Linked DNA regions of Drosophila melanogaster. The protein of the gene in region 2 purifies or fractionates together with the protein of the main gene of each other region. This does not show direct contact. Each region holds a gene or a part of one and is shown on either strand. Other genes may lie near its edges.

Region 1 (5,292 bases), 3.1 Mb from region 2:
GCTCCTTATTAGTAATGCCTCAGATCGTCCGACGACACTCACGGTAAATGCAATCGAAAGTCGAGGAAAGCGAATTAAACCAGATGAAAATTATGTTATTAAAGATGGAAATGAAAGGTTTAAAATATTCATTGAAATATTGAAGAACTTTTTCCTAACTAGACAGCAACTATTGGCATTGACATAGTAATTTTACACTTAAACAATAGGCACTTCAAATTATTGATTGATAGATTGATGCTGATTGTTATGACTGCAATCATTTAAATAAGCAACGTACGGCATCTCATACCACATGTATGCATATCATGCACCCTTAATAAGTTATCGAGTTACTTCGTTCTTGACCAAATTGCATTGTTTCCATTATTCCCATTTCCATCGGTACCTGTGCTGCTTTTACTTATGGGCTTCTAACCCACAAACATTACACATGATATGTATATAGACATAGACGGGTGCGGGTTGGAGTGGTTCATAAGTATAGATTGCGGTTGCCGTAGTGGACCCCTTTATTCTATAGGTTGCATATGTATAAGAGGAAATTAAAAATATATGCTGCATTTGGGCAGCTCTCTTTCGTTTGGTGGTGTGTGTGTGTGGGTGTGTGGGATAGGATGTGTTGCCTACTTTTTGGCATTCGCCAGGCTCTTTTTGTCTGCTCACTTGTTGGTTGGGTTTTGTTTGCTTGTTTGCTTTGTTTTCCACATGGGCCACATTATTATGATGTCTCTTCTCTTTTTCTCGCCTGAATGAAGTGCATCGCACATAAGGGAGTCGAGTGTGTGGGTGTGTGTGTGTGTCTGCAAGTCCTAGAGATGGCAAACTATTGCAACTCATTAGGGAATGGCTTATTGTTATAATGAACCCAAAGTGGCACCGAAATATTTATTTTTAAGCTACTTAAAAGCTCTTTAAATGTAAAGAATACCAGTAGAAAAAATGCATTAAAACAGGATTTACAATACATTTGACTCATTGGTTAACTATGAATTTGTTCCTTATTCCGCATAAAAGTATACAAAGTGTAGTTTTTTCTTCAACCAATTGATGATGTTAAATATCGGTTGACCCCATTGCCCATCGTGTCACGCTGCCATCGCCAAGGACACACACGTTTCGGAGGTCGACTGGCAGCGTCAGCTTCGCGATTTTTCATCAAAGTCACGGCGGGCAAAAGTTGGCGAGATGCTGCCCCATTGTTGCTTCTGACACTGACACCGGAAATGAACACATTTTCCGGTGCCATACGTGTGCGCCTGTCCGTGTGTGTGTGTGTGTGTGAGTCTGTTTGCACTCAAACACACACACACTAAAACAGCGAGAGAAGCACGCACACTGAGACAGACTGAGACCACCCACTGGGAGATTGAAAGTCGCTTAATGTATTGTTTTTCAGCGCTGACTCTCGCCTTTCAGCTTTTGCCTCTCGGATTTTAGCGTTCAGATTTCAGATTTCGGTTCCCAGAAGGCCAACGAAAATACTCGCAGACCACGGCATGATATCCCGCTTATTAGTGTCAAAGGCAAAGTCGTGAATCGGGAGCATCGGAAACCAACTTCCGCCCAGCGAATTTAATTACTCGAGAGAAGGTGTTGATGAAATTGCTCTGCTTGCAGTGACTTTGTCAAAACGAAGGCAACGGAAAATTCGAGTGCAACGTGAACTAAAAGAACTTTATACTCAACCCATTCGATCTTTCATTTAATATAACATGCCTGCAAATGTTTATGATCATTGAACTACCCTTTAAAATAGTTCGATTTTATGTGGCAAAAATGAGTTTAGAAAATCGTTGTTATAATATACTTTAATTTCGTCAAATGTTTTCTAATCTTGAGTTAAATCTTTTTGATATAGCTGCCATTGTTTCCCCACACTCTCGAACCCAGCAGCTTTCTCTACTTTCTCTAACCATTTTCCTGTGTCTGATGGCTTCTTAATTAGCTGTTAAAACGTTTCGGCAGCTGCCAAAACAATTACACGCTTTATTTCCATGAACGGCACGTTTTACCTTCGTTGCAACGCAAGTTAGACCTGACCCCTGACCCCACTCCTCCAACCCATTTGAGTTGACCCCATACCCATACCGTTACACATTCCCACACCCACTATGAACTCCTGTTGCTGCAGCTGGGAATCTAATCCCGGGGACTCAAATCGTTTTACGCTGTCGCCGCATGTGGGCATTAAGTTAAATGCCGGCGTAGACGACAGGAACAATGATGATGGGTCCTGCCCATGATAATGATGATAATAACGGGGGGATGCGGATACGTGATTATGACGATAAGGTTCCGGATTCCGGAGGAGCCCATCGAGTGAGTGAGTGCGGCGCAATCTGCTGATTTATATTATTGTCACGTTTATGGCCAGATTGGGATTGAAATTGAGACGATGGGTGGGCTTAAAAGTGGGTGGCACAGCCAACGGTGCAATGCACTTTTTACAAGCAATTAAAGGTAGTTGGAATAGATAGATATATACATATATATATATATATATGTACGTATCAGATCTTCGAATGTCTAGAGACAGCTGTAAATGAATAATGAACGCCAATTCAGCGAAAAATATATTCAATTCAATTTCGATGCGTCACTCCGGATTCGTCGCTCATTAATTTATGACAGTCATTTTTAACGCTTTGCTGCCCACGATGCCCTCTGCAAGTGACAGTTGATGCTGACGGCGTGCCACGCCCACCCCCTACGCTCTAACGCCCAACCATTTTGCATGCGTCAAATATTCAAGCGCCATTTTTCAATTGAATTGAATGAATTTCTGAATTGAGTGCATGAATGACGATGCCGCTGCGACTAGTTGGCTTTGTTATCGTTAGCCTGGCAGGATCGGGCGACTTATCTATTACATGGATGTTGCAACATGGCTACTTGCTATCTCCTTTCAACATTAAGTGAATCCTTGGAGCAGACAAATTAGAAATATATTGCTGCATACTTTTAGACACCAGAAAGATCCACTGATACCAACCGATTTCAATACGTATAGGGTATTTCTTTATTCGCTCACCTGAAACTCGTACCCATTATTCCGAATTGTTCTATTCCGAATGATTTGTGTTTGGCCCCTTTGTTGACGAACGTCGAGGACAGAGCGGCTCTACGGCGAACGGGCCATTTGGCCGGACTCTAAAGTGGCCATATTTCACGCTCCTCTGATGGGCCTTGTCAACGTGGGCACCACGATGGCTCCAGCTCCAGCTCCTGCTGAATGTGTAGCCATTCTTGGGGCAGGACATTACACTTTAATTAACTACAAGGCCGGGGCAATTGGATTTCTCCATTTCCACCGCAACTCCAACTGCCACGCCCACTCTTTGGCTAGTTTGGGAGCTAATAAAACATTCAAAATATTTTTGTCGGCTCGTTTCTTGGACCGGAGGAGTGTGTAATTTTGCACATTTCATATGAAAAGTTGTCGAGCTCACGCAAAAAACTTTTGCAGCCAACACACAAGGATGCAATGCAGTTGCGCACAGTGGCACTGTGGGTTAAACAATATCAAAAAACAAAAAATAGTTTATAAAATTTATTTAAAAAATAGCTAAAAAATAACTGCACTTATATGTATAATTTTTAATGAGTTGGTAGTAAAAAAAAGTCTTGAACTATGAATCAGGTCCTTTATAAGATAATATTTGAATATTTTGAGGCATTCTTCTTGCACTCAAAACCATAATCCCAAAATGTATAGAACATTTTTGAAACTTTTCCTTACTTTCATTGCAGACTTTTGAATTATGCTCCACATTTCGAGCTCGTCACACGGTGCACAAGAAAAGTTTCTTTTGGCAAAGATTAACAGAACCCAGAAGCAACCGAAAAAGGGTTTGAGATTGGGATTTAGGGGGAATGTGCGTGTTTCTGGCGGCGCATGTTTGGCAATGCGGTAAACCAAATTATGTGCTTAGCAAGTTGCCGCTGCGACCAGAGTCAGTGGAACCAGCCAACCAGCCAACCAACCAGGCAACCAGCCAGCTACCTCAACCACCCGATCCTTTGTGTACTGGATGCAGCTGCATTTGCACAGAGCAACCAGCGCACAGCACAGCCCCTGCTCCCTCCTTTTGAGTCTTTGTGGCACAGCTCCTTGCACTTGGCCGCTTTTCCTGTTGGCTCTGGTGGCAAAGAGGTTTGCACAGGTGTTTCCAACAGCAACTTTGCCAGCATGATTAAAAAGTTTTGCCACGGCTCAGCAATAGAAATCCGAGACTTCGGTTACCACAATGTCAATGCCTGACAAGGGATATGTCATTTCTTATTGTTTGTTGCTAGCTAGGAGCAAAGGGATAGCAACACAATACTAGTACTTGCCAAATCTACAACCTGATTTTATTACTTGCATGTTTAAAAATCTCAATCCCATGACAAATGATCATATAGCCACAAAGATACATAGGTAAATTCTTATAGAATATTCAAGTATCACTGCGGATTCAAATGGTGCTCCAGTTAACCCGCCTGTTACCATAACAAACAACGACTGAGATTGTGTGTCATAAGCGTGTTTACATAGCGTACAAAAAAAAAGGAAATTCAAAATGCATTTTCAGGCCTCGAACATGAGAGTGAGGGATGTGATAATGAGGAGCTAGCCTCTGGCGAAGCGAAACATCTGGGAGTACAAGATCAAGTTAATGTACAAAACGGTGGACATGGCGATGATCATGGCCAAACGGTATCATTTCTTCTTGGCATCCTTGAGGCCAGCGCCGGCGTTGAACTTAAAGAATATGATGTCGCCATCCTCGACGGTGTAGTTGCGTCCCTGTTGGCGATATTTGCCAGCGGCCTTGGCATTCGCCTCACTGCCCTCCGCCTTGAAGTCCTCGAAGTGCATCACCTCGGCCATAATGAAGCCCTTCTCGAAGTCGGTGTGAATGCGTCCGGCAGCCTGGGGAGCCTTGGTGCCCTTCTGGATGGTCCAGGCCTTCACTTCATCCGGCCCGGCGGTGAAGAAGTACTCCAGCTGCAGTCCCTTGTAGCCGGTCACAACGATCTTCTCCAGCATACTTTTGCACTTGGTCTCCGTCTCGTAGGCCTTGCGCTCCAGTTCGTCCTTTTCGGTCAGCTGGTGCTCGAAGGCGCCGGAGAAGGGAATGAGCAGTGCTCCGGGATCGTTCTTGTCGATCCATTCCTTGATCTTCGGCAGCCACTTGTTCTTCTTGCGGATGAAGTCCTTGTCCGAAAGGTTCACCAGGTAGATGACCGGTTTGGAGGTCAGGAACAGATACTTGTTCAAGGCCTCAATCTGAAAGAGCAAAGTAG
Region 2 (4,827 bases):
ACATACTCCGTGTCCTGGGTAATGATGCCCGGATTGGTTGACGTTTCTTTTTTGGGCATGGTCTGGTTGCTTTTGGTTGCCGGGGTGCGCAAGCTAACACTACGATCTTTGTTCCGGCGCGAGAGTATCTCCTCGAACTCCTGCAGCGTTATGGATGATATATCCAAGTTGGCGGCGTCCCAACTTGCTGGATTTTGTGCCGTGGGTGTGGATTTACGAATTGAGGAGACTTGTGCAGGCTCAGAGATGGCCGATTCCTCGCGGGACATCTTGATTTTCGTCTCCAGCAGCGAGCAAATACCTTTGGCCACCACGTAGCCCCTTTCGCCCGTTTCTTTTACAGTTTGCTGCAGTTTTTTCAGCTCCTCGGTGGGATTTTGACTGGAACTTCTCACCAGCTGCTGTGTGTGCGCCACATTCTCGGCGATTAGCTCACGAATGCTTGAATTGCTCCACAGATGACGACCGTGGGCGAGATGCTCGCGCCCACACGCCTCCAACAAGATCCGCAGTCCCCGCAGCAGCGCCGCAGCTTCTTGTGCGGATCGCGACATCGCGGAGCGAGGAAATACTGGTTTATTGTGCACTGCTCTCGCGTGGGTGATTCGCTGGTGATGATCGGCGCGTAGGATTACGTAAATCTCGTAAAAATATCACAGCAAAAAAAGTTCAAAGAATCGCGTAATGTTGTGAAAATGCGGCGAAAATCAGCTGGCAAAACAGCTGACTGGCCATCTAGTGCTGCCATGCTGGCGTTTTAACAGTGGCACCATGGCATCTTGAGCTTTTTCTAGCTTTTAAAAGCCAGCTTGCTGCAGCACTAGATTTTGCACTGAAGCCAGTGCTGTTTCTTTGGCTCTTTTAGCTTGCTTCAGCTTTTATGCAAAATTAGAAAGAAACATTCAACAACTAAACAACTAAAAATTTAAATACTCCATAAAAACTAGGAATACTGCTTAAGTGGCCTGCTAACAGAGGCCACATTTATTCAGCGGCATACCTTAGGTCGTACAAAATTTTACTAAATTAAGTTTGTTTACCGAAATCCAGATCACACGTTAATATATATACACAGCTATATAAAGTTTCGTGACTAACTGGAGTTTAAGCTATTCAATTACACTATAGCCACGCAAATGGAATCCTACTTCCTGGGCAGGCGACCAGCACGCTCCATGGTGGCATCCTGGAGCTCCCAGGCGGGCCGATAGCCACCCAGATCGCAGGAGCAGACGGCATCGGAATTAGAACCACATTCACACTCGGCATCGGTGCGTCGGAGGTGCGGATTAGGCACTGTGTTCGCACGATTCCCGATCGAGGTGTAGCCCCGATCGTACAGGCTGCAATAGGGCACCGAGTTCAAGTGGATGTAGTGCCAGACGTCGTGGTAGCTCCACTCCAGCAGCGGATTCAGGCGCATCATCGGCGGCCAGTCGTTGTCCGTGGGCTAAAAAAAAAATCGAAATTAGCATCACTAGGCACTTGGGGTTTCCTAATAGGAAACAGCAGTTTCGAACTTTCCAAAACTATTTCAAGCTAGCTTCATTATTATCTTTGTGATCTTGTGAGATTTTCAAATAAGCGGGATACATTTGGTTTTGTAAAATACTCGAATAAATTCTATGTTAGGTGGTGAACCACAGAACTCGCTTATCTGCGGAATGGAATCATGACATTCGAAAATGCCACTGTCACTGTGATATTGGCAAAGGGCACATACTTTTCTAGATTAACAATGGCATAATTTTGATACTAAGGCTGTGACTTTGATAACTTGGCTTTATAATCAATCTACTACTCTTGAGAAAGAAACTTTTCTTCACACTTGAACCTACGAACTCCTGAGCATTTCAGTGCAAAACATTTAAATATGATTTATCTCCTGATTGCTATATTCCTAACCAGCTTCACCTGCATGGGCGCCAGATGCTGGCAGTAGGGATCCGTGTTGCGGCTGCCCACGAAGACGGCCTTGATCCGCGGCATGTCCGACGACATGTGGGTGAGTGCCTCCTTGAGCGTACCCTCGTACTGAACCAACTGGACGCGGTAGTTGCGTACGCAACGCTCGACGAACTCATCGATTTCCGGAAACGAATCGCCGGATTTAATGTACAGCATGGGAATGTCGCCGCTGGAGATGTTCTCCTGGCGCAGGTAACGCATAAGGAGATCGAGCAGCACGGTGCAATCCTTGCCGCCGTTGAAACAGAAAATTAGCTCCTCGACGCCGTAGATTTGCAGGGTTTCGGCGAAGAAGGCGAACGCTTTATTTTGCCGCTCCTCAATGGCCAGTCGATCCTCGGCTGTTAGTTCCATTGGATTTGATATATCCTGTCCCTTTGCCACATCCTTGGAGTTCTCCGAACGATCCGACATGCTCCGTTTCTCTAGAAACAAATGCTTTTTGCTAATGCTCTTTGCGCATAGAATGCTGTTGTTCGCTGTAATGTTTGTGATGTTTGTGATGTTCTTCCGGCATTCGTTCATGGTGCTCAGTGGGCGTAATGTTTGTGGGAGGCGTGGCCGTGCCCTGGCTAGCAAAAACGATGACGTCACACGCTGTTAAAGTCAAAAGAGCAACTATTAGCACTCAATAAATAAAACATAAAAAAAACTTTCGCCGAAAAATATCTTTTTTTTGCGTGTGTGTGTGTGTGTGTAAGTATTTACTTTATGTAATTTTCTAGGCCCATAAACAAACTTTAACTGTGCGATGAGCGTGGTAAATGCTTCGGCGGTTGACGTGCGAGTGAGTTGGCTTATTTGTGGCCAGCCAAAAATTACATCACTTTCGTATCGGAAAAGTCAGCAAAAACAAAAAAAAAGTGATATAAAGCCAAAACCTCAGGCCCTCACACGCACACGCACACACACGCATGCAGGCCAAACACATGGCGCACGCACACACGCGCATAGCTCACCCAATAGCTCATGTGTTTCGTTGCTGCATCGACTGTTTACTGGCGCACATTTAACTGATGAGTTACGGCGACAGCAATGCAATTATTCCATTTTGTTAATTGTTATTCCGCGCCAGTGATTTTCCTTCCTTTTTTCGTCTTTTTAGTGCAACAACAAGCGAACGGCGACAACAACAACAACAAAGCCAGGAAGCTTTGCGTACTATCGGTGCATCAGCTGTGCGCTGAATCTATCGATTGCACTCGATTAAGGCGGTTGGCTAGCTAGAAATTCAAAAAAAAAGCTAGAAATTTATACATTAAATAATTTTGAAAGTTTCGTTTTGATTTTAATCCGCAATTTCGCATATCGCCAGCAAATGCGACATATATACGCAAATTTTGTTTCTGTTCCGTCTGAAGTAAAATAAAATGTTCGTAGTTTAAATGTTTTATTCGACAATAACAAATTCGTGTTTGTGTGTGTGCTTAACAACAACAATAAAAAGCGTAATTAAAGTACGCTCTACACATCTAATAAATGGGCACTGTTGGCGTTTTCTATCAACTGGGTGTGTTTTCTTCGATTCTTGTGGCTTTTTTTCTTCACGGAGAGAAAATATCACATAACTGGTGATTTCATCCTGTTCCACTGGGCGCTTTACAAATTTCGATGCAGTGCATATAAACTTCGATATAAATTTCATGTACGTTCACACTTAACTTAGACATAAATATTTAAAAACTAAGTTCATTGTCTAAAAGTTAGCAATATGATGGCCAGAATGAAATCTGAAAGTGGTGAAAATGTTGGTTTTGAAATAATGTTGCATTTGGTATGTAGAATATTTCCGCACAATCATTCAAAATATGCATCTCTTGTGTGTGGTAATTTTGATAGAGCCGTTTACAAATCGTAATTTTCATCGCTGAAACGTAAGCATCTTCGGTTTTTTTTCCGTGTACAAATTAGACATCCTTGTTATCCAGAATATCGTCGATGAGTCCGACGACCTTCTGTCGAAACTTTCGATTCTGCTTGCCGTTCATCTCCTTGATGTACGGATGCAGGCTGATCAGAAAGGAGTAGTCGGCATCCGGTTGTGAGCCACCTCCTCCTGGTCCGCCAGTGAAAACACTTAGAGCTGACGTAGCCGGCTGCGGCGGCGGTGGTGGTGATGTTGGTGTTGTTGTTGTTGTGGTTAACTTGTGATGACCGCTGCCATGTCCCTTGAACCACTGCGTCAGATCCGACCAGCCCAGGTGATTGCCCAGCGCGGCGGCGGGCACCGAGACCAGCGACTGCTGGCTCACCATCCGCTCCAGCTGCTGGTTCGCATTTGACGAATCGTGCTCCACTTTGATGGAATGCAGGCGGAGCGGCAAACAGGCGGTGGGTTGCTCCCGATCCTGTTCCTGATTACGACGATGCTCCTCCTCGGACACCTGAACGTCCAGCGGCATCTCACCATCGCTCACCTTGGCCTCCTCCTCCGCCGCCACCACCTCATCTTCCTGCTGAGCAGTGGCAGCTTGGCCGGGTTTGCGGAGCACCATGCCCGGCAGCTGCTTGTGGCAGGATCGCGACTTGGTGAACGGAACGAGAAACTGAAGATACTTCGATAGGTAGTATTTGCGCTTGCCGCGTCCCGTTTGTGTGCGTGCCAGCTTCAGGGATCGCAGGAAGCTGCTCCTTATGGTGCGCCATCGCTCGCGACAGTTGCGAACTGCAGGAGAAACAAAACACATCTTTTACAGTACAAATTTCTACGGTACAAATTGAAACTTGTTCACCAAAAGGTAACCACAGTACTGAGTTGATTTGCACATCAAACTCAATTCTTGGATTTATACTTGTTTGTAACATGGAATATTTTGTAGTTTAAATACTTTTATTTTGTATTTATTTTGAATTTATTAT
Region 3 (4,731 bases), on a different chromosome or scaffold from region 2:
GCACAATTGGATCTGGATCAGATCGCCCGTGGGCAGGCAAATGGGGCGCACGTAGTCGGTGTAGCTGGTGAATGAATAACAATGATGAAGAAGTTATGGAATACTCACACATCCCACACACCCGCCACTCCTTTTCAATGCCACTCCTTTTCAAAACCAAAGCAATGTCATTCTGCTGGTCTACGGAATTAGGCAACTATTGGTCATGTACAATGCCCTTCTCCACCTCGTGTGTGGATATATTTCAAAATTTTAAGCGGATCCAGGTGAAATCGTTGTCGTTTATGGCATCCCATCTGAATGTTGGACCCACTCGGAAAATGCGCAGATGACCATTAGCAATAGTAGAAAATTCCATTCCATGGAAGCCATCTCGATACCCCAGAACCCAATCCGATACTGACCAAGCTCTCCGGCACATCTGCCGTCTAGATTGACAAGTGAGATGGCTATTGCAACAGAGATAAATGAGTTCCAGAGATTTTCCTCTACTTTTCCATTAGAATATGGGAAATTACGTGGGCAAGCTACTACCAGACTTTGCTGATCACAGATTGACAGAAAAGTGGTTCGATATTATTACAACCGGTTGTGCTCGCAAAACTTGACAGTGCCGATCTCATGTGAATTGATTAAACCCCAATATCTACATCGCGCTTTTCACATGGTTATCATGTATTTAAGTATGTATTCATCATGGCTCCAATTTCTGCTTTATCCAATCGATGAAAGCCCCCGTGCGGGTATAGACGCCGGGCCATCCCTTGAGGCCGCAGGGCTTCGTCCCGTAGGAGGTGACGCCGGCAATGTAGAAGACATCCCGGCCGCCCGTGGATATAGGCACCATAAGGGGACCGCCGGAATCGCCACCGCATGTATCCACGCCCAACTGGCCGCCGGCACACATCTGAGAATCGTCCAGTTTCACCTTGAAGCTGGAGTACTTTTCCTGACAACTCGTTAGGTTCCAAACGTTGACGGTGATCTTCAGCTTGATCGCACTTGGCTGCATGTTCTCGGTAAGTCCCCAGCCGGCCACATCCATGCCGTAGTCCACAAAGTTGTTTTGGACTAAACCATCCGTGGGAAGGCATATTGGACGCACGTAGTCGGTGTAGCTGTGGCAAAAACAAAAAAGCAAGTCAGTGGAATAATTGAGGGATCTCTGGACCACATACCTAACAATCCTCTTAAGGCGCACCAACGCAATGTCATTACGCTGATCAACGGAATTGGGAGCATACATCTCGTGGATGATGCCCTTCTCGACCTCAATGTCGATGTGTTTCGGTGCACAGATGCGCTGTCCGTTCATCTGGGTGGTGCAGTCAGGATCGGTACGAGTGTCCCACTCCCCCAGGCGAACGCTGTGTAGAACGGCACCGGATTTGTCCAGTTCTCGGCTGGCCAGGCAGTGTCCAGCGGTCAGGACGTAGCGCGAGTTGAGCAATGCACCGCCGCAGTTGAAAGTGTAGGTTTCAGAAAAAACTGAAAGGATAAAGAGCGTTTCCCAAGTACATATTATAAATTGATTAGATACTAATAATAGCCTTGTATATATTGAATATGCGTTTTCTTATAATGATGATCCCCCCATTGGAGAATTTGATTTGAAAAAGTGATTAAAAAATGATTACAGGTGACCTCGTGAAACAACCTTCCTATAAGAGATTAAAATAGAGCCTGGGTAGGTAATCTACTCACGTTTTTTGTACTGCAGCAATACCATCCATGGGAATTCCCAGAGGGTCGTATTGGTGCCCCCGAAAATGCGATCAGCGAAAAGGAAGCCGCAGACGTCATTTCCAGGCAGCACATCCCCCTGCTGCAGTGCATCCCTCGTCGAAGGAGTTGGTTCCGAGTCCATGATATTGCCCCGCATGCTCTGCGGACAGCAGACCAGGATTCGATTCACCAAGCCCTCAACCCTGTTGTCCAGGCCACACTGGCTCTTGGAGAGAAGGATTCGCTGGGCGGGAGTCTTTGGCTCCACCATCAGCAGGTTGGCCAGGTAGGGGCAGCTGGTGATGTGAACGCACTGGCCGCGCTCATCGCTCTGCTGGGGCGTACAACTGCCAAAGCTGATCTCCGCTGCGTCTGGAAGAGAAGAGCGCGATTTACGATGCAGTCTAACCGGTTCTGAACCAATCCATTAAAGGCAATCCATTCTACTAATGGACTTCATGTCTAATATTTCTCATAAAATTTCTTAGTCCGGGAAACTATATGTTGATATTTAATATATTTGAAGTTTTCAAAAACTCTTTGATTATTAGTTGTTATGGTTTTTATTCTCACAATCAACAAGGTCAAGTGCTTAGTTTTTCTAGCTTTATTCAAACTATATACTATACTATACTATATATATAGAACTATATACTTTTGAAAGAAGCACCATTGCATCCAGTTGCTGTGGATATTGTTTGCCCAAAGGACAGCTTACCCACCTGATCGATGGACCAAGCCGGATAATGCGCTGACCACCAGTGACAGTAGCAGAAAATTCCGTTCCGTAGAAGCCATCTCGTCGCTATGGGCTCCAAGCTGATACTAACCAAGCTGTCCGGCAGTTTCGCTGTCACCGATTCTCTCCCGATGCATTGGGCGTGATTAGCAGAGGTTATCTCCGGACTCAATACCATCTAGATTGCAACAAAGGCAAAAGCTATGTGAATAGGGTGGTCTTTCCCTGCCTTAATATTTACATAGTAGTTCTGCTGAGCTGGGCAAACCCAGCGGTGTAGTTATTAGAAATTTATTTATGCTTAATCTTCTCTCGGCACGTTATGTTTTTTGAACAACACGTTTTTTAAAAAACAATCTTCAGTGCTTTTTCTTATCTTTTGGGGTTTTATAGGTCTATTACTTTATAGTAGTGGATTAATGGAACAGATGCTATTCCAATTTTGCAAATATGAATTCTTTATTAAAATTAGGGAGCCAAATTCGCTTTGATCCACTCCGAAAAGTGGCCAATTTTTGTGTAAACACCTGGAATACCAGCAGAGTAGCAATATTGTTGTCCATATGAGGCAATGCCTGCCAAAAAGACGAACTCGTCGACGCCGCTTCCCATGATGCCCATTACCGGACTGCCGGAGATGCCCGCACAGGTGTCCCCTTTCCGTTGACCACCGGCGCATACTTGGGACGCGGAGCGAAAGCTGGGATACCTATTCAAGCAATCAGCAGGATTCCTTTCCTTGACCGTGCTGGTGATCAACGTTTGACTGCTTTTAGTCGGATCCCAGCCAGAGATTTGCAAATTCAAATCCTGTAGGGGAAATTCGGCGTCCAATAGACAAATGGGTTGGATCTTTTTCGTGTATCTAGCGGGTTTGTAAAGAAATTTCCATAAGATGTGGAGATTAGGGTGGAGATCACTGCTACTCACCGCACTGGGAATTGCAATCGGAGGAGGGCGATGTCGTTGCGGTAAGTTCCGCCACTCGAAGTGAAACCCTGATGTACTGTTGTTTGCCCCACCTCCACATCCAAATGTGGACACCTGCTTTCCGAGGTGATGCAGTCGGTAGTGGACTCGCCCAGGCGCACACTCTTCAGAACCAGGTCATTCTGCGTCAAGTAACCACCGATCACGCAGTGGGCAGCGGTCAGCACATAGCGACTGTAAAATCCCAAATGAGAAGACTTTACTCGTTGAGTTTTTGTAAGAAACTAATTTTATTTGGAAATATCTTCGGTTTAAATAGGTGACATGAGAATCGCATCTTAAAGTAAATGGCCTACGCAGAGGCCTAAGTAAATAGTCCCCGCCTTATCGAGGTCCCACGCTCGGGCACATCTGCCTATCTTGAGCGGCGAGGACCTTATCTGTGGTCTCCCACTAAGGGACTATTTTAGGAGGCGGGGAAAGATCTCAAGTGACTGACTCATGTAGTGTGCACTTAAATTACATGTTTTTGAGCAATGCACCCATGTCGCCTTAGATAACAAAATCCTAAATATAATTTATCGCTCTCGATTCATTTACATAAGATATGAACGGAGCCCAAAATTGTAAGTCTTTAAATATATTCGTGTTCATGTGTGAACAGCGACTGTTGATCAGTGAGCCCGCACAACCAGTTCGTTGATTCCACATCAAGGATAGCCGATTCTCATATAACAGCAATACCATCCAAGGGTACTCATTAAGCTCTGCATTCTCGGCACCCCGATCTCGGAACACGGGCGTCGTTTGTCCACAGGTCTGTTTGTTGGGCAAGACGTCACCCAACTCTGGGCAGCAGACATAAACCATGTGCAACAACTCGTGTCCATTGGGGTCCAGGCCACACTGCCTGTGTGCAAACACATCTTTCTCCGCCTGGGTCATGCCCCGGGGCCTAAGGATGTTCATAAGCGGCGAGCAGCTAACCAGTCTGGTGCATTTCTCATCCTTTTGGCAGCTTGATAACCGAACTATAAATTACAAAAATAGATAAGTGAAAGCCCCGATAAAGTATAGCAGTACGAGTCTATGTGGAAATATTATTATTATTATTATTTTTGAATATGATTTATAATAAAACGGATCGATGGATATGATAATTTTTATAATTCATGGGGTCGAACGTGACCTATTCACAGCACACATCCTCTGCAAGGATATTATTGAGCAAGATATAACATCTTCGGTTTTTTACGAAAACTTAAAAATCATTGCTTTTGCTTACCACACTCAGCCAATTGGTTGAAGAAAATGGCCTGGAGAAGGACCAAAATATA
Region 4 (4,207 bases), on a different chromosome or scaffold from region 2:
CTGTAATAATGTAATAATATGTCTGTAATAAATGCTTAACTTATGATTTGATAATAAAATTTTCATTTCACAATTTAAGTAAATGTGGAGTAAGTTTTTCCCATGTGAAAACTGAATTACTTTATTTATTTATTTTGAAACATAACATAAAGTTTTCCCTAAATATTTAGAAATATTTTTGTTCTGTAATGTATCTTATCTTATTATAATTTGGCTTGCCAAACGTTAGGACAACCTAAATTAGATTTTAAACTATCCTTGTTATTAAAGATTTCTAAATTAAATTTTATTATTATAAAGCTTTTGAGCACAGTATTCTGACAGAGAGTATATACAAGACTGGCTTTTAAAAGCTTTTATTTTATATGTATGTACATACATCTAAAATTCGGATTGGTTAATATTTAAATTCAAAGACACCTTCTTTTAAGAATTCAAATTTCCAGTCAAAACATATTTTTAAGTCGTTTCTCTCCCTCTCTAAAATTGAATTCTTTTTTATTTATTTATCTATCATTATTCAATTGTAAAAAAAGCTTTTTGATACTAGACAGTTTCTTTGTGTTTATTTGTATAATGTAGGGATTAATGCAATCTTGGAACGCAGTCTTTTGTAGATAAGAGTTTTCCTATACATATTTCGCGCTGTCAGGATTATACACATTTTCAGATAACAACTATTATGGTCTTTCAAGTCCTTCCATCCTCAAATGAACTCCCTCCTGGGTGGATATCAGGAAATTACGACTGGAAAACTTCAGCGGGATCTGTGTTTTCTCCGACCTGCTGAACTTAAAATCCCTTAGAAGGTATACAAGACCCACCTTCACTTGCAGTTTACCAAAACGCTCGCCTATGCAATTTCGAGGACCCTCGCCAAAAGGCAAATAGGCGAAAGGATGCCTAGCCTTAATCTCTTCTGGCTCAAAGCGACTGGGATCAAACTTTTCTGGATCGGGATAAAGCTCTGGGTCGTGATGAATACTATGCACAGGTATTATTATCTTAGATCCCGGCTCCAGGATTAGGTTGCTATTCGGTATCTGGTACTCCTTGGTGGAACGCCTCAGTAAGTGAGGCAGTATAGGATACTTGCGAAGCGTCTCGGCAACCACTTGGTCCAGGTAGGGCATCTCCTGAACGGAGTCGTACGTGAGCTTTTGGTTGTTGCGTTTCAAAACGGCGAGTACCTCAACCCGTAGCCTTTCTTGGACATCGGGGTTGAGGGCCAGCTCATACAGGCAGAAGGACATGGTGGTGGAGGAGGTGTCGAACCCGGCCAAAAAGAAAACCAATGCCTGGGCCGCAATCTGCTCGAAGGAGAGGGCGTCTTTTACTCCCTCCTCACCCAATTCCATTAGTAGTTGGATCAGGTCGTTGCGATGAATATTCTCCCGTCGCCTGTAGTCCAATGTCTGGCGTACCGTGTCCAAGAAGAACTCACTGACCTCCGGGCGAAAAAGCCTGAAGCGCAGCTTCCTAGCCAACTCCGGCTGGGCAAACATAAAGGCCTGGACGAGCACCGAATGCAGGGGCTCCTGGGTCACTGATCGGCCCATTCGCCGGAACTGCGACTCCGGATCCTGGAGACTATTACACTCGAGGCCGAAGGCACAGCTGCCGATCACATCCGTGGTGAACCTGGCACACAGATCCTTTGCCTCTATCTCGCCGACCTGGAGGCGACACGCCTGCGTTAGCTTCTCGCCCACCTCCACCATGTTGGGGAACATGAATTTCATCTTGCCGGAGGTGAACACCTGCGTCAAATTCTGGCGCAACCAGCGCCACTCCGGTCCGTCCAGGAAGAGAAGGTTCCCGGTCAGTGGATCGTCCCGCACATTATGGAAGAGTCCTCGATCGGCGAAGCTGGAAAAGTCCCTGATCATTATATCGCGGATCAGTTCCAGATCCATGATAAACAGCGACTTGGTCATAAAAGTGAAGTAGCCGCAGTAGCGCTCCACTCCCCGAAACTTCCGGTAGATCCGCAGGTTGATATCCGTCCAGTGAAGGTCCCTTCCCAGCCCACTCATATTGCCGCGGAAGTACACGGGTCTTTCTCCGGCGACGCCCCTTCTGCTCCAGTAGCTGTAATGCCAGCGTAGCTTGACATATAGCAGAAGTCCGACGGTGAACACGAGTACCAGGAGCGTCAGCATGGTACCTACTGCTCGATAGAATAACAACTGAGTGGAAAAGTGGGGTACATTTGATTTGCCGTCTGAAAAGCTTTCGCTTCGCTCTCTTTTCGGGGACTCTCTTTCTCTATCGGTCTTATATGCAAAGAACTGCAGTTATCTAAACATACATAAACATATCTTGCGTCATTTTAAATGAGAATCAAATGATTTGTAAACAAAATATATAGAGCGTTGCTAATGTTCAGTTTTCAGATCAATTATTATTTGAAAATTTAAAAAACTTCACTGGCTAAGCGTTATTAGATTATTTACAAGTTTTACAAGTACATTCTAAACTTTCCAAAGTTAGTAAAATTCCGAGTCTATATGCGTTCCACTATGGCGCTGCGAGTGTCCGAAGCTAAGGGGATGTCTGTTAGGTCTGAATCACCGAACTTGAAGCGCTGACACAATGCCAATCTTGGCCTGCATTTTGCCAAAACGCAGACCTATGCAACTGCGGGGTCCAAATGTTCCGAAGGGCAGATATGCAAATGGATGGCGGGAGTTGGACTTATAAGCCTTGAGGCGGCTGGAATCGAAGAGTTTTGGATGTGGATATAAGTGCGGATCGTAGTGAACACTGTGCACAGGTATCAGTAATGAAGTTCCCTTCTCAACGATGAGCTCAGTATTGCGGACCCTAAAGCTTTCTTGTGTTTCGAGCAAAAATTTAATTAATTGGATGTTTTCGAAGAGTTTCTAAAAGTTAAGTTGCGCTATCAAATTTTCCATGCTTACCAGACAAGACCTGTTCTGGATAGTTAATTTTAGCTAAGGCGTCGTAAGTAATCGCATTTCCTTCCAGAACCCTTTCTATTTCATCCCTTATTTGATTCTAGATCTCCGGCTGGAGGGCTAGTTCGTACTTACAAGAGCTCATCGTACTGGAGGAGGTCTCGAATCCAGCCAAGAAGAACACGATGGCCTGGGCAGCCATTTGCTCCAGGGTCCAGTTGTGGGAGAGATCAAACTTTGACCCTCCTTGCCTGCTACTTCGTCCTCCGCTCGGAGGACTGGTCCATAAAGTCATTCCGCTTAATGCCGGTTTAACCACCGACAAGAAGAAGTCGGTCAAATCATCGCGAAGAATCTTCATTTTTAACTTTTTAGCCAACTTGGAGTTGGTAACTGTAAATGCGGCCCTTTCTTCTGAACTCGGCTTTGGGATTCGGGATCCACTATGTGCCGATTCCCTTGATGTTTGCAATCAGCGGTAGAGGACGCTCATGGGACACTCCCCGTTCTGGCCCAATATGTGTAGGTGTTGTAATAGAATCTATATAAGCCAACATTGGGACCAAACTGAATAATGCGAGAGTGAGCCGCATGGCGATCAAGATACTTCTTTGGATTAAGCTATCCAGCACACTGGTACGCGAAGTATTTTCTTGAAAGCTTATTGTTAGGTTCTAACGAATTTTCTTCATAGATCTCGGGAGCTTAATCGGCAATCAAGCAAACAATCAAACATATGTACAATATACATATAAACATTTGCTCAGCTTTTGAGTCGACAAAGCTTTTTCCCATGGTGAACTAGACGGTACTAGAAGATAAGGTTGTAAACAAATACTATATACATTGTTTAGTTTAAGTGTACTATTGTACATTGTGATGATATAACTTATTCTTTAAGAGGTAAAGTGAAGAGCATACTAGATTCGTTGAAAAGTTTAAAAGTAAAAGTTTGAAAGTAAAATATAGAAGGAAACCCTTTGAGACTCATATATGTTAGATCAGAATCACAGGAGTTTATATGTACGCCGGACTAAATATGTATGTACATATTTTATGAAATTAGGGCTTGCATATCGCAATCTGATAGTATCTGATAGCCTCCTGTCTTTTTCTATTATTAACCTCGGAAATAACAATAGATAGAAGATAGAATAGATAGAACATTTTTATTATTCCGGTGACTCAAGTTGCCCAATCGTATTCGTTATCAAGAAATTCTGTCAACATGACCACCGTAACAGAAATCGGTGATAAAGAGTCGACGAAATGTTTGGTCTAATGCC

What was found.
Region 1: the proteins of Flad1 (region 2) and CARPB purify together in Drosophila melanogaster (affinity purification with mass spectrometry, with the first as the bait; one large-scale study listed by BioGRID). This does not show direct contact.
Region 3: the proteins of Flad1 (region 2) and SPE purify together in Drosophila melanogaster (affinity purification with mass spectrometry, with the first as the bait; one large-scale study listed by BioGRID). This does not show direct contact.
Region 4: the proteins of Flad1 (region 2) and Cyp6a13 purify together in Drosophila melanogaster (affinity purification with mass spectrometry, with the first as the bait; one large-scale study listed by BioGRID). This does not show direct contact.

Annotation. Positions count from the first base shown.
Region 1 is NC_004354.4:9,781,142-9,786,433, reverse strand, and holds the start of CARPB (carbonic anhydrase-related protein B), read right to left. Parts: upstream 3,212-5,292; 5' UTR 3,035-3,211; intron 1-3,034. Other genes in the region: CG1354 (uncharacterized protein), read right to left, coding at 4,706-5,275.
Region 2 is NC_004354.4:12,900,402-12,905,228, forward strand, and holds Flad1 (flavin adenine dinucleotide synthetase 1), read right to left. Parts: upstream 3,116-4,827; 5' UTR 2,940-3,115; coding exon 2,928-2,939; intron 2,762-2,927; exon of another isoform or gene 2,677-2,761; intron 2,566-2,676; coding exon 1,915-2,565; intron 1,451-1,914; coding exon 1,145-1,450; 3' UTR 952-1,144; downstream 1-951. Other genes in the region: Coq8 (coenzyme Q8), read right to left, coding at 1-554; CG4404 (uncharacterized protein), read right to left, coding at 3,876-4,633.
Region 3 is NT_033777.3:23,684,078-23,688,808, reverse strand, and holds SPE (Spatzle-Processing enzyme), read right to left. Parts: upstream 2,555-4,731; 5' UTR 2,524-2,554; coding exon 2,448-2,523; exon of another isoform or gene 2,272-2,447; intron 2,098-2,271; coding exon 1,705-2,097; intron 1,489-1,704; coding exon 1,179-1,488; intron 1,119-1,178; coding exon 695-1,118; 3' UTR 662-694; downstream 1-661. Other genes in the region: CG18754 (uncharacterized protein), read right to left, coding at 2,933-3,329, 3,395-3,628, 4,104-4,425, 4,680-4,731.
Region 4 is NT_033778.4:8,568,486-8,572,692, reverse strand, and holds Cyp6a13 (cytochrome P450 6a13), read right to left. Parts: upstream 2,195-4,207; 5' UTR 2,163-2,194; coding exon 681-2,162; 3' UTR 546-680; downstream 1-545. UniProt on the Drosophila melanogaster protein: May be involved in the metabolism of insect hormones and in the breakdown of synthetic insecticides.